Macaca fascicularis: one gene and its partner. The protein of the gene in region 1 purifies or fractionates together with the protein of each later gene. This does not show direct contact. Links are inferred from orthologs where the notes say so. Each region holds a gene or a part of one and is shown in the gene's direction. Other genes may lie near its edges.

The links. The genes of interacting proteins can lie anywhere in the genome.
Region 2: the proteins of POLR3E (region 1) and POLR3GL purify together in Homo sapiens (co-immunoprecipitation; 5 studies listed by BioGRID and IntAct, counting the BioPlex papers as one, with this or other methods). This does not show direct contact. The link is inferred for Macaca fascicularis from reciprocal best matches to the Homo sapiens genes POLR3E and POLR3GL.

Annotation. Positions count from the first base shown.
Region 1 is NC_088394.1:21,281,164-21,289,267, forward strand, and holds the start of POLR3E (DNA-directed RNA polymerase III subunit RPC5), read left to right. Parts: upstream 1-3,979; 5' UTR 3,980-4,097; intron 4,098-5,446; 5' UTR 5,447-5,542; intron 5,543-6,787; exon of another isoform or gene 6,788-7,045; intron 7,046-8,104. UniProt on the Homo sapiens protein: DNA-dependent RNA polymerase catalyzes the transcription of DNA into RNA using the four ribonucleoside triphosphates as substrates.
Region 2 is NC_088375.1:113,448,938-113,456,402, reverse strand, and holds part of POLR3GL (DNA-directed RNA polymerase III subunit RPC7-like), read left to right. Parts: intron 1-199; 5' UTR 200-224; coding exon 225-294; exon of another isoform or gene 295-407; intron 408-2,393; coding exon 2,394-2,557; intron 2,558-7,465. UniProt on the Homo sapiens protein: DNA-dependent RNA polymerase catalyzes the transcription of DNA into RNA using the four ribonucleoside triphosphates as substrates. Specific peripheric component of RNA polymerase III which synthesizes small RNAs, such as 5S rRNA and tRNAs.

The DNA of each region.
Region 1 (8,104 bases):
AATCAGTAACTCACTGAGTCTCAGTTCACATTTTCAAGAGAGAATTTGATTGGTCCAACCTGAATCCTACGTCCACCAAAGAAGGTAGAACCCACTAACCACGGCTGTGGGGGTGGGGCATGCAGCACAAAGGTGGCTGCCAGGGACGCACTCTCTGACTGGTCAGGCAGTTCCTAGAAAAATCAGACTGGGCAAAGATGCTAGCAATTATCCTTGACTGTGAGGATATTTCCTTTTGGAAAATCCGGTACCCAACTCACAAAGTCCTTCCTGGTACTAAAATACCACGACAAACACTCCTCTATTGACTTCAAGGGGTTATTCCTCAATCAGCTTTGAACTCCCCACAATGCCTAACCTGTGTCTTCAATCATGGCTGCTTCTGTATTTTTTTTTTTAATGTCTTGAAGAGCAACAAACTCTACTAGCACAAGAAAATCTTTGCATATCATTACATATGTTAAAGGTAGACAAATGGCCAGGTGTGGTGGCTCACTCCTGTAATTCTAGCACTTTGGGAAGCTGAGGCAGGAGGATAGCTTGAGACCAGCCTAAGCAGCATAGCAAGACCAGGTCCTTACAAAAAATACAAAAGTTAGCCCAGTGTGATGGCGCATGCCTCTAGTCCCAGCTACTTGTGAGGCTGAGATGGGAGGATCACTTGAGCCCAGGATGTCAAGGCTGCAGTGAGCTGTGATCATACCACTGCACTCCAACCTGGGCAACAGAGCAAGACCCCATCTCTCTAAAAAAAAAAAAAAAAAAAAAAAAAAAAGGTGGATGGAGAGGGGGAAAAGCCAGGCTAAGGAGGGATTGAAAAGGAAAGATATAAAATGTCCAAATGTTAGGGGTGTGTACCAACTGAATATTAGCCAGAAACTTGAATCGTGGCCCTGAAAAATCTAATACCGGTCAATGCAAAATGAGAATTCTACTTAAAAAGTGTGATTTATATAGTTTTTGATGTGTGTAAAGCATCACCAGCATTAGCAGAGTTCCTGCCTAATTCCCCCATTCAGTCTCCTTAAGCATTGACTCCACTCCCTGTGTTAAACAGCATAATGGAGAAAGTAACCCATGTAAATGACAGAGGGAAAGAGAAACGATAGAGAATGATAGAGGAGAAAACTTCAGATATGAGGGAGATTTGGGAGTTCTTACACCAATAAATGTGAAAAATCAAGTAATGGGCTTTGTTTTCCCAGAAAATGACAACTTGCCAAAATTGACTTAGGAAGAAATAGAAAACATGAGAAGAAATAGAAAAAAAAAAAAAAGTCATCAAAAATCATATACTTTGGCAAAATGGAAAAATATATGCATATCTATATCTATATAGAGAGGGTCTCCTCTCTCACCCAGGCTAGAGTGCAGTGCCTGAATCTCGGCTCACTGCAGCCTTGACCTCCCTGGCTCAAGGGATTTTCTGACCTTGGCCTCCCAAGTAGCTGAGACTACAGGCATACGCCACCGTGCCCGGCTAATTTCTTTTCTTTTGCTTTTTGGTAGAGACAAGGTTTCTCAACGTTGCTTAGGCTGGTCTTGAACTTCTGGCGTCGAGCGATCCTGCCACCTCAGTCTCCCAAAGTGCTAGGATTACAGGAGTGAGCCACCAAGACCAGCCTATTATTAATATTATTATAATATAATACTAGGTAAAGTATAAATATAGTCTAGCAATTTCATTTCTAGTGTATACCCTAGAGAAATGTCCATACACAAGACAAGGAGCCATGTGCAAGGGTACTTCCTGCCATATCGTGCGTAATGACAAAAATTTAGTAACAACTTAAAAGTTGTTCATGGCATGGAATGAATGAATTAGATCTATAGGCATCGTAACAGACCTCAAAAACACAATGTTGGGCCTGGCACAGTGGCTCATGCCTGTAATCTCAGCTACTTGGGAAACTGAAGTAGGAGAATGACTTGAGCCCAGGAGATCTAGGCTACTATTGTGCCACTGTACTCTAACCTGGGTGACAGAGCAAGACTCTCTTAAAATAATAATAATAATACTGTTGAAATGAGAAAAGCAAGTTTTAGATATCAGTACAATGTGCTAACATTTATATAAATGAAAAACAAACAGATAACCATTTTATGTGTTTTTTACATAAGTTTTATATGTAAAAATGTAAGAAATTATTGGAAAGATACACATCAAATTCATGACGGTTATAGACAGGGGAGAATGTTTGGGAGGGGACTTTATTTTTATTTGTAACGGTCTAATAATTTCTATTTGTAATAGTGTGATCTATTTTTCTTTATTTATTTTTGAGACGGAGTTTCACACTGTCGCCCAGGCTAGAGTGCAGTGGCGGAATCTCGGCTCACAGCAATCTCCGCTTCCCAGGTTCAAGCGATTCTCCTGCCTCAGCCTCCCAAGTAGCTGGGATTACGGGCGCGTGCCACCACGCCAGGCTAAATTTATATTTTTAGTAAAGACGCTTGAACCCAGGAGGCGAAGGATGCAGTGAGCGGAGACCACAGCACTGCACCCCAGCCTGGACAAGAGCGAGACTCCATCTCAAAAAAAAAAAAAAAAAAAAAAAAAGAGAGAGAGAGAGAGAGAAAAGAAAAAAGAAAAGAAAAGAAAAAAAGCCACAATAATGATAGTCATTAATTTAATGCCAGGTGGTGGCACTATGGATGATGATTTTTTTTCTTTGTAATTTTTGTACATTTTTGTACAAAAGATATATAGTGTTTTAGTCCATTTTCTGTTGCTTATAACAGAATACCTGAAACTGGGTAATCTGTAAAGAAAAGGAAGTTACTTATTACAGTTATGGAGGCTGATAAGTCCAAGCGCAAGAGTGTGCATCTGACGAGGGCCTTCTTGCTGGTGGGGTACCCCTGCAGAGTCCTCAGGCAGTACAAGCCATGATATGGAGGAGGTGCTGAGCTGTTCACTTGCTGGCTCAGGTCTAGCACTTATAAAGCTCCCACTTATAAAGCCATCAGTCCCCCTCCCAAGATAACCTATTAATCCATTAACCCATGAATCCATGAATAGATTAATCCACTCATGAGGGCTCCACCCTCATGATCTAATCACCTCTTAAAGGGCCCACCACACAATACTGCCACATTGGGGATTAAATTTCCAACACATGAAATTTGGGGGACACATTCAAACCATAGTACATATTAAACTGATAATAATGGTTACTTAACCTCTGCGGAGGGGCCTAGGATGCGAGTCAAGAGTCAAAGAGCATTTGTACCTTATCTGCAAAGTTTAAATATTTTACAATAATTCGTGTGTTATTTGTGTAAGTAAAAATTTAAACACATAATTTCTCAGAGACAACTGCCCAGACCAGCCCCCGGGTTTGGCCGTCAGATCCCCTAGGGCGTGTTTCTGATCAGATCGATTTCTTCTCCCGGAGACACGCAATCCGGGTCGTATGGATTACTTGTGAGTTAACCAGGGGTCTCCAGGGTAACCATCCATCTCAGAGTACAGTTTCTAAAAATGAGTTTTGCTCTAATACCTATTCGGAACAAACCTGGGTCTAAAAACTGGAGCAAGTGTTTATTTTCCAGCACACGGCTTTTTAAAATAATTCTATAGGGATCAGCTTGAACACACATTAAACAAAAAAACCTCAGCGAAAACGCCTCGCGATTTCCAGATGAAATGCGAATGCAAAAGCATTAAGTAGCGTTCTGGCAAACCCTTTCTCCAGCTGGGTAGCGTGGCCGAGCGGTCTAAGGCGCTGGATTAAGGCTCCAGTCTCTTCGGGGGCGTGGGTTCGAATCCCACCGCTGCCAGGGTTGGTTTCTTTTTGTTCCCCGCTGCATACACGCCCGGCTGTTTTGCGCGTGCCATCAGCGCCCCCTGCTGCAGGGCGGGGCTCACGGCCTGCATGAATGGCGCGGCGGAGGGGGCGGAGCCGTGTGCGCCGGGGCGGGGCATTGTGGGTAAGAGGAAGCGCTGGGGCCGGCCCGCTCCCCCCACGTGTCCGCCGGAGTTTCTCCACCAGCAACATGGCCGCCGCCTGAGAGGAGAGCCGGGCCGCCGCCGCATCTGCAGCCCGCGGGTAACTGGGCGGTTGCCGCCGTCCGCGCTCGGCCCCCGCGGAGAGGTGAGTCCCATCTTGGCAGCGCCCGAGCTGGGGCTTGAGCCGGACCGCACTCATGACGTGGGTCTGGGCTAGATTCCCGAGTAGGCCAAGGAGGCCCGCGCCGCGCCGTGCTGAGGGGCTGGGGGCCTCTCGGGACTCGGGCGGGAGGAGGGGCAGCCGGCTCCAGGCCGACCCCGGACTCCTACTTCCCCGACCCGACACCTGGGAGTTGGGGAGGCCGCGGCCGACGCTGCCGGCGGTGACTCAGGGTCCTGCCGACCTGCCCCACCCGGGCCTGGGGGGCATCCTACGGAAGGAACACCTGTCCTCGGCGTCGGGTGTGGTGGCGGCTCGCGGCAGGGACTGCGTGGTGGGCGTGAGAAGGGGTCCTGACCACCCGCGAGGGAGCAGAAACCCATTGGACAGCGAGGCTCGGGGTCGGCGGCCCGCCCCGATGGGCAGGGAGGGCACCTGCGCCTGCCGGAGCCCCCTCTTCGCAGCTGAACCGGATTAGCTTCTGCCTGGCGAGGCCTGGGATTCCTCGTTCATTTATTCAGGCAACCATTCAGTGTTTACTGAGCCAACTCTGTGCTCCGGATACGGCCCTGACCATTCGGTCCGAGGAGGTGTCAGTAAACAAACAAGGTCGTTCCTTTGGGTTAGCTTTAGAATTCCTTGGGCTTGGAGGCGGAAAGAAGAGATCTTAGCGATCTCAACAGTTCCTCATCTGTGAAATGGGGATAATAGAAATTCCTACCTCATAGGGTTGTGGTGATGGCTCATTAGAAACCAGGTGACGCTCCCGCTTGCAGCGTTTTTACCCGCCTACATTGGCAGAAAACATGTTGTCAAGTAATAACGAACCTTCCCATAGGTTACGTTTATTACCGTCTTTACTCCTCCCCGCAGCTGTTTGTAGGTCGGTACTTAGTTTCCCTACTTTAGGGATGAAAATAGGGAAGAATACCAGACGTAGACAACTCAAGTAGGTCACAGATGCGAAGCAGCTGCGGTGGGATTTGAACCCGCGTAGTTTTGCTCCGGAGTTCAGGCTCTTACCCACTTAACCATACTGCCTTTTATCGAAGATCTGTGCAGTATACTGGTTAAGAATAAGAATAAGGATCTTTGACATCAACGAGACCCTAGTTTCTGTCCTGATTCCACCTCGGATGAGTTACTTCTCTCTCAACCTCAGTCTCCTCATTTCCAAATTGAAGATGATAAATCTCTATTAATAGGGCTAATGAGAAGATTAAATATAAAGTATTCTTTGTACTATATTGAGTGTCAACTTCGTGCCAGGCACTGTTCTAGGTATTGAGAGATCTAGCAGTGGATATATATTTTTTTTAATCTTCATTTCATAGTTGAGGAAACTGAAGCACTGAGAAGCCTTCATGGAGCTTACATTCTATTGCAGAAGACAACACCTGAGCAAATAGACCAGGTAGTTCCAGATTAAGGTGAGACCCATTAAGGAAAGAAAATAGAGATGTGGTAGTGCCTGGGAGGAAGTTGGGGGAGGCTTTTAAAATAGGGTGGCCAGGGAACCTATCCTCTCCTGCAGGCGGTGATGATACTTAATAAAAAGGAGCAACCTTGGAAATCCCTGTGGGGGAATAGATGATGTGCAAAGGACCTTGGGTGGACTGGGGCTTGGCTTGGTGGAGGCCCAGCAAGTGGCTACCAGCCTGGATGGTCAGGGGAAGTCAGAGACAAGATCATGTAGGGCCTTAGGCGGCTCATGGAAAGGAGTTTGGGTTTTGTTTTATGTGACAGTGACAGTTGACAGGTTTTAGGCAGGGAAATAATGATTTACATTTTTTTTTTTTTTAAGATGAAGTCTTGCTGTGTTACCCAGTCTCGAGTGCAGTGGCAAGATCTCAGCTCACTGCAACCTCTGCCTCCTGGGTTCAAACGATTCTTCTGCCTCAGCCTCCCAAGTAGCTGGGATTACAGGTGTGCATCACCACACCTGGCTGATTTTTGTATTTTTAGTGGAGACGGGGTTTCACCTTATTGGCCAGGCTGTTCTGGAACTCCTGACCTCAGGTGATCTGCCTGCCTCAGTTTCCTAAAGTGCTGGGATTACAGGCGTGAGCCAGCGTGCCTGGCCCCGCCCCGAATAGAGATAGAGTCTCACCCTGTGACTCAGGATGGAACACAGTGGTGTGATCATAGCTCACTGCAGCCTCAAACTCCTGGATTCAACCAGTCCTGCTGCCTCAACTTCCCAAGTCATTGGGACTGCAGGCCACGCTGGGCTAATTTTTTTTTTTTTTTTTTTTTAAAGAGAGACCGGGGGTCGGGGGGGGGTCTCACTATGTTGCTCAGGCTGGTCTTGAACTCCTGGTCTCAGGCAGTCCTTCCACCTAAGCCTCCCAAAGTGTTGGGATTACTGGCATGAGCCACCACGCCAGCCTTTCCAAGGACTCACTGTTGCTGGGAGACTTTGAGGCAGGTAGCCATAGGGAGACATGGATGAGTTCTTTTCACATTGCAGATTGAGATTTATTAGTGGGAAGTAAAATTGATTTAGTGGAATTGAAGCTAGCATTTTTTGTTTTGAATGAATGAAGTAGAAAACATCACTGCCTGACATATAGTAGAGACAGAGTTATATGAAACTTTGTTTCAGTTACGCAACTGTGTGTATGTTCTGGGTTATTTATATGAGATGAATTTCATGTTGTTTTTTTTTTCCCCAGAGACGGAGCCTTGCTCTGTCACCCAGGCTGGAGTGCAGTGGCCCGATCTCGGCTCACTGCAAGCTCCGCCTCCTGGGTTCACGCCCTTCTCCTGCCTCAGCCTCCCGAGTAGCTGGGACTACAGGCGCCCGCTGCCACGCCCGGCTAATGTTTTGTATTTTTAGTAGAGATGGGGTTTCACCGTGTTAGCCAGGATGGTCTTGATCTCCTGACCTTGTGATCTGCTCGCCTCGGCCTCCCAAAGTGCTGGGATTACAGGTGTGAGCCACTGCGCCCGGCTGAGATGAATTTCTTACTGTGGTGGATCTTAGGCTGAAAACTTTGAAAGCCACTGAGTTGGATCACCTCAACCTGGAGGATGAAGGGAGGTGACACTCTTTGTATCAACCCAGATGTACTATCCAGAGGGAGGAGCTCCAGCTCTCTAGCTGACAGGGCACCTTAGCCTCCCTGATCCCTGGCAACGCAGAGGCCAACAGGGCATAGCAATAGCAGAGAAAGAATGATTGTGTCTTTGGAAGCTCCCAGGCCACACCCTCAATGCTTATGATCTGTCCCCTTGCTCACCTGGCAGGCTCCAGCCTCTCAGTTGTCCACTGCCGAGCTGCAGAGAAGGCAGGAGCTTGACATGTCTGTGGTGCTTGGCAGCCAGTGCAGATGGAGTCAGGCCTTGGGCTCTCCCCTCCACGCTGCCCTCTGTCTGCACAGCAGAGAGTCGAGATGCACCTGAAACTATCGAGATGCGACTTCTGATTTTCATTCTATCCTCCATCTCTGGGACTGTTACGATAGCCTGTTTCCCTGAAGTTTCTCTTTCTACCCCCTCCATATCTTCCTCTGCCCGAAATCCTTCTGTAGCTTCCTATTAAATAGCATTCCCATGGTTCATTTATTTAGACAACAAACATGTATTGAGTGCCTGCTATGTACTAGGCACTTGGGGTACCACAAGGGACAAAATAGACCAAAATCTCTGCCTTCACGTAGCTTACAGCTTAGTGGCAATAGAGGTGGGCACAGATGCAGAGCTGTAAACTGTCACATGGTGATAGACACCTGCTATGGAGAAAACCAGAGCAGAGAAGGGAATTGAGGGGTGGGGAAGGCAGTTTGCAATTTGATTTGGAGAGGGAAGGTCTTAGCCATAAGGTGACATTTGAGCAAAAACCTGAAAGAGGTGAAGGGGGGGCCATGAGGTTATCAGGCGGGTAGAGCAGCTACACATCCCCAGAGGTGGGTTTAGAGAGGAGAGGAGGGTAGGAGGCTCGTGGGAGATGAGGTCTGGCAGGTCAAGGGGCAGGAGATTGTTTAGGGTTT
Region 2 (7,465 bases), on another chromosome or scaffold:
CCACCCACCCACATACATGCACCCTACAGTCACACATGTATTCTCATTCCTAACCTCTTTTAGCTTGCCACAACCCCAAAAATTGAGTGGGGGGAGGGAAGCAGACTGCATTTGAGACCTAAAACGGGTGGAGGGAGAATTGGGGGGTTCTTTTGCCCCTGCGATGTTCCCCATCACTCCTTGCTCTTTCCCCTCCCAGGCTGTGCGCCCAGATAGATACCTGAATGTCCGCAGAATCTCCTCCTGGCCAAGATTGGGGCCGTGGCCACGGGGCAGCCGAGGTGGCGGAGCCAGGTTCCTGGGGGCCCGCATGGTGTGGAGGGGGGGCACCCGGATTCCCTTGGTGTCAGTATCTGCGCCCCAGCGCCGGATCGTCGTCCCTCCTCCCGGAGCGCCCCGGGCACAGCGCCGGCTCGGGAGGAGAGAAGCTGGGGGGGGGGGGGGAAGGGGGGGCGGAGCTCTGCTGTGCTATTTATAGCCTAGTCTCTGCGGGTGGGGGCGTCGGGCACCAAACTGCTCCCCCACTCATGCACACATAAACCCTCAAAAACCTAGAGGCTCCAATCCTGACTTCCTTTTCTTAGCCGACCTCCCCTCAGCCCCAACAAACCTAAGTGTTCCTTAGGGGACTCCTCCGCGACCCAGACAGGGACCATCATCGTCCAGATTCTTCGCTGAGCTTTAGCAGATCCCCATTCTCTGCACTTGGTGTGTTTATGCGCTTCTGTGCGCCAGACCTGACCTACCACGCACGGCACATGGCACACTGTGCAAGAAAGGTGTAGACAGGCTTTTTGGATCCACAGCCGGTGTCCATACTGTGCAAAGAGAGGCAAGAGATGTGGCTTTCTTCCTGTAGTTTAATTGTGAAGGAGACACGGTCTAGCCTGGAGTCAGACACAGATACACCCCCGCCCCATCTCTCAAAAACGGAACACCCATCGCAGAGAAACTCGGACCTCAGCTCCCTTATATAGACCTAGATAAATGAGGAAGGTGGATATGGGGGCACTTTTAGACAGGGCAAGGGACATTCCCAGGTGCCTCCACCCCGTATTATTGTGGGCAGGGAGATAGGAAAGTGGCAGGAAGAAGAGCGAACCTGGTAATACACTCTGTCACATTGCACCTCTTTAATCTCAGTCTTGCTTAGTCGTCTTATTTTTTCCATCTTGCTTGAAGATCTCTGTCTGAAATGCTCCTTATAGCTTCTCTCTTCCTATCTATTGGTCTCTCACACTGTCTCTGCCTCTCCTTGCCACCTGCCCTGTCTCCATGGTTACCATAGCTTCCATCCACATATTTTAGGAATGAGTTTGTGTCCAGCTGGAAGGCACCAAGGAAAGTGGGAGAAGAAGAAAAATCCTAAGGTTTTAAAAAGTTCACTCAGGGTCCTGAGCTAATTCGGAGGCTGGAGGCCCCCCAGATGCAAGATACTGAAAATAATGTTCCCAGGTATGGGAGAGAGAGAAAGATTTGAGGGAAGCTACCCATTTTTACTAGTTATTTCTTGGACACGTGTCAACTATGTGCCATGTGCTTTACATACACTCTTTTCAATCCTCACAACTCTGTAAGATAGGAACTATCATCTTCTTGTTACAGATGAGGAAACAGACTTCATAAGTTTAAGCAAGTTCTCCAAAGTTTCACAGCTATATTTCTGTTCTATGGCAAAGACTGGGCGCTTGCCGCTACACCTACAGCCTCCCAGTTTACAGGTCATTTTCTCTTACATCTGGGATATTCTTCTTGACTAACTCCTAGACTTCATCTCCATTCTGAACCCTTTCTCCCTTGTTTCTGTTTTCTGCGAAAATAGGACTCCTCCTTCCACGCTGCTCGCCTTCCCAAGGAGCGCGCAGGAAGTGGAAAGTAGTGGAAAATGCAGAAAAAGCTGGGCTTCTGCCCTGTCTCCCCAACTCTGGTACTCTGATCCCAGATCCTTCCTTTCTCAAACCCTCTGCCCACCTTCTCACAGACACGGCAGCAACCCACAGAAAAACATTTTTAGAAAAGAAGTATCCATTGGTGGTGCTGGAGAGAGGCAGTGTATGATTGAAAGGAAGGCTGGAGTAATGGAGAGACCAAGTTGTGAAGCTAGAGTCACAAAGAGACTGATCCCTAAAGAGCAGCTTTCACAGGGGTTCATTTCTCCGTAGGCCCTCTCCTCTTTTGGCCTTTCTGTAGGGGCTCCCTCAACACGGTCCCTCGATGAGATACGAGTGTCACGTTCCCTTGGTGAACTCTTGCCGGCCAGTGGCTCCTTCCATCTGGAGTGAGACCGGAAATAAGTGACCCTAGATGATTCTGCAACCCCCATCTCCCTCTGCGACCCGCTTCGCAAGCTTCGGTTCCGGGCTTACTCGCTCCCTCCCTCCTTCTCTTCCTAGGCTTCAAGAGGGCGGACTTCCCTCCTCAGCTTCTCCTGCATTGGCCGAGAAAACTCACCAATAGGGAGCTCCGGGAGGCGGGCCTAGAACGCCACCGACTTGAGGAAGCCCAGTACATTTCAAGTTGGCCGCGGCGTGGGCTCCGCGTGGGGGAGGGACAGCAGGTAAGGCTCCGACCTGGTGGCTCTGACCTGGTTCGGTCCCACACTTGCCGAACTTGTTCATCCCGGCCAGGCTGCGAAATAGATAATGCTTTCCGTCAGGTTGTTGGATCAGCCCCCTTCTGGCTCCCTACCTTTTCTCCCCTGGGCCCCCATTTCTGTATTGATTGTATACTAGAGAATGGTAGTTTTCTGTCGCGCACGGGGAGAGACATTAAAGCAGAAAACGAGACAGCCTCTTGTACCTCTCTTTGCTATAGCATCAACTTCCTCCCAATCTATTAATATTATCCCAAGAGCCTGACAAACTCCTGTTATCTATGAAGACTAGCTGAAATGCTACCTGTAGTTTTCCTGGACTGCCTTTCTTGCAAAATGAATTGTTCCCCCGTCTGACGATAGCATTTTGTGTATACCTTTATTGGGACACTTAGTGCACTCTCTCTCTTTAATGACTCTATGCCTTTTAGAATAGAAGGTTTTGTAGGATAGGTGCTAGTAGTTAATATATAGTGCCCAATAAACGTTAGTTAAATAGAATTGATTTTTGGCAACTAGCACTCTTTTTGGGGAGGCAGAATTTAAATTCCTAACATAAAATAAAAATAAAAATAAAAACTAACATAACTAGGGAACAATAAAAGACAATACAGTATGTAATTAAGAGCCATTAAATTAGTGGTTCATAATATTAGTGTTTCATAATTGTTTCTGCAATCTAGAGAAGGAAGAAAGCAGGGAGAACTGGAATGGTGAGGGGAGGCTTTATGGATCACAAGGTCTCAAGTTTGGAAAGGCCCATAGAAATAATGTATTTATTCATTCATTCAACAAATATTTATTGAGCACCTACTATATGTGAGACACAATGCTAAATCATGCTGATCACAGGGAATCCTCTACTAGAGCCATGCATCCTTCTTACAAACCCTATTTAGTAAATTGTTGCCCAGCTTCTATGTAAACATCTTTAGTAAGGAAACTCTCTTGTCTCTCTTGTAGGTCATTCCATGTTTTGATATCTGTTCTTTAGTCAATATCCAATAAATATTCTAAATAAGAACTATATAGCTAAAGGAAATGCATTCCACACTTCCACTGTAAACAGGGGAAATCTGGCTGGGAGCGGTGGCTCACGCCTGTAATCCCAGCACTTTGGGAGGCTGAGGCGGGCGGATCACCTGAGGTCGGGAGTTGGAGACCAGCCTGACCAACATGGAGAAACTCCGTCTGTACTAAAAATACAAAAATTAGCTGGGCGTGTTGGCGAATGGCTGTAATCCCAGCTACTGGGGAGGCTGAGGCAGGAGAATCATTTGAACCCAGGAGGCAGAGGTTGCAGTGAGCTGAGATCGCACCATTGCACTCCAGCCTGGGCAACAAGAGCAAAACTCCGTTTCAAAAAAAAAAAAGACGGAAATCTGTCCTTTTACAGTGGAATTGGTAGCATTCTTAAAAGCAAGCCATTTCTAGCTGGGCGTGGTGACTCATGCCTGTAATTCCAGCACTTTGGGAGGCTGAGGTGGGCAGATCACTTTAGCCCAGGAGTTCAAGACCAGCCTAGGCAACAACAAAACCCTGTCTCTACAAAAACTACCAAAAATAAAGAAAAAAATAGCCAAGCATTGTGGCTCAGGCCTGTAGTTCCAGCTGCTCAGGAGGCTGAGGTGGGGGGTTGCTTCAGCTGGGGAAGTCGAGACTGCAGTGAGCCAAGATTGCCACTGCACTTCAGCCTAAGCGACAGAACAAGAACCTGTCTCAAAAAAAAAAAAAAAAAAAAGAGGCCGGGTGTGATGGCTTACACCTGTAATCCCAGCTCTTTGGGAGGCTGAGGCAGGTGGATCACGAGGTCAGGAGTTTGAGACCAGCCTGGTCAACATGGCAAAACCCCGTCTCTACTAAAAATACAAAAATTAGCCAAGCGTGATGGTGGGTGCCTGTAATCCCAGCTACTCGGGAGGCTGAGGCAGGAGAATTGCCTGAACCCGTAAGGTGGAGGCTGTGGTGAGCCGAAATCACACCACTGCACTCCAGGCTGGGTGACAGAGCAAGACTCTGTCCCCAAAAAAAAAAAAAAAAAAAGGTACACAACTCTCTGCACTAAAAAAATTTCCAAAAAACCTCATCCCTCAAATTAACCATTGTTAATTTTTGGTACATATCTTTCTTTAACAGCTTTTTAATTCATATGTGTGTATGTATTTCTGACAGATTACCTTCTACATATATTTAATATTTTTTTCACCAACTAATCTCTTGTGAATTTTGAATTGCTACTTGATTTTTGTTTTAGCTTTTTGTTTTGAGACAGGGTCTCTTTCTGTCACCCAGGGTGAGTGCAGTGGCATGATCATGGCTCACTGAATCCTCTATCTCCTGGGCTGAAGCGATCCTTCTACCTCAGTCTCCCAGGTACCTGAGACTATTTTTCATAGTCTATTTTTTTATTTTTTGTAGAGATGGGGTCTCACTGTGTTGCCCAGGTTGGACTCAAACTCCTGGACTTAAGTAGTCATCCCATCTCAGCCTCCCAGAGTGCTGGGATTGCACACAGGTGTGAACCACCACACCCACCCTCGAGGTTTTTTTTGTTTTTGTTTTAATTAATAGATTATATATTTTAGAACAGTTTCAGACTTACAGAAAAATTTAGCAGATAGTGCCAAGAGTTCCCATTTGTCCCAGTGCACAGTTTCCCCTATTAACATTGTAGATTGGGCCGGGCGCAGTGGCTCAAGCCTGTAATCCCAGCACTTTGGGAGGCCGAGACGGGCGGATCATGAGGTCAGGAGATCGAGACCATCCTGGCTAACACGGTGAAACCCCGTCTCTACTAAAAATACAAGAAAATTAGCCGGGCGAGGTGGCGGGCGCCTGTAGTCCCAGCTACTCGGTAGGCTGAGGCAGGAGAATGGCGTGAACCCGGGGGAGCGGAGCTTGCAGTGAGCCGAGATCGCGCCACTGCACTCCAGCCTGGGGCACAGAGCAAGACTCCGCGTAAAAAAAAAAAAAAAAAAAAAAAAAAAAAATTGTAGATTGGCCGACCATGGTGGCTACCGCCTGTAATCCCAGCACTTTGGGAGGCTGAGGCGGGTGGATCACGAGGTCAGGAGTTCGAGACCAACCTGGCCAAGACAGTGAAACCCCATCTCTATTAAAAATACAAAAACAAATTAGCTGGGCCCGGTGGCGGGCTCCTGTAATCCCAGCTACTCGGGAGGCTGAGGCAGTAGAATCACTTGAACCCGGGAGGTGGAGGTTGCAGTGAGCCGAGATTGCGCCACTGCACTCCAGCCTGCACGACAGAGCAAGACTCTGTCTCTAAAAAAAAAAAAAAAAAAAAGGCCGGGCGCAGTGGCTCACGCCTGTAATCCAGCATTTTGGGAGGCCGAGGCGGACGGATCACCTGGTCAGGAGGTGGGGACCAGCCTGACCAACGTGGAGAAACCCCCTCTCTACTAAAAAAAAGTATAAAATTAGCCGGGCGTGGTGGCGCATGCCTGTAATCCCAGCTACTCAGGAGGCTGAGGCAGGAGAATCACTTGAACCCGGGAGGCGGAGGTTGCGGTGAGCCAAGATCGCGCCATTGCACTCCAGCCTGGGCAACAAGAGCGAAACTCCATTTCCAAAAAAATAAATAAATAAAGTAGATTAGTATATTTGTTACAATTAATGAATGAATACTGATACATTATTAACTAAGGTTCATACTTGATTGACATTTCTTTGGTTTTTAGCTATTGCTCTTTTTCTGTACATGGATCCCATTTAGGATTCCACATTATATTTAGTTGTCACATCTCCTTACGCTCCTCTTAAGTGTGACGGGTTTCTCACACTTTACTGTTTTTGATGACTGACAGTTTTGAGGAGTTGTTTATATTGTAGGATGCCTTTCTGCTTGAATTTGTCTGATGTTTTTCTCTGTATTAGCCTGAGGTTATGGGTTTTTAGGAGGAGGATCACAGAGGTGAAGTACCATTGTATTGTATAATATTAAGGGCACATACCGAAAACATGATTTATGAGTATTGATGCTGACCTTGGTCATCTGGTTGAAGTAGTGTTTTTCTGGTCTCTCCACTGTAAAGATATTCCTCTTGATTTCCTAAATTATACTGAATGAGGGCTGGGCGCAGTGGCTCACGCCTGTAATCCCAGCACTTTGGGAGGCCGAGGCAGGCGGATCACGAGATCAGGAGTTCAAGACCAGACTGACAACATGGTGAAACCCTATCTCTACTAAAAGTACAAAAATTAGCCGGACATAGTGGCATACGCCTGTAATCCCAGCTACTCAGGAGGCTGAGGCAGGAGAATCACTTGCACCCGGGAGGCAGAGGTTGCAGTGAGCTGAGATTGTGCCACTGCACTCCAGCCTGGGTGACAAAGCAAGACTCTGTCACAAAAACAAAAAACAAAAAACGTGTATATATATATATATATATATATTCCCTATACACAGTCCACATGTAAGAAGTGGGAAGTTATAGCCGGTGCAGTGACTCACGCCTTAATCCTAGCACTTTGGGAGGCCAAGGCGGGTGGATCACCTGAGGTCGGGAGTTCGAGACCAGCCTGATCAACATGGAGAAACCCCATCTCTACTAAAAATACAAAATTAGCCAGGTGTAGTGGCACATGCCTGTAATCCCAGCTACTTGGGAGGCTGAGGCAGGAGAATCGCTTGAACTCGGGAGGAGGAGGTTGCAGTTAGCCGAGATTGCGCCATTGTACTCCAGCCTGGACAATAAGAGCGAAACTCCGTCTCAAAAAAAAAAAAAAAAAGTGGGGAGTTATGCTGCCCTTCTCCCTTTTAGGATGGTGTGTCTACATATTTTATTTGGAATTCTACATGAGAGATTTGTCTTTTCTCCTCCATTTAAATAAGTTCAGTCATTTATTTATATC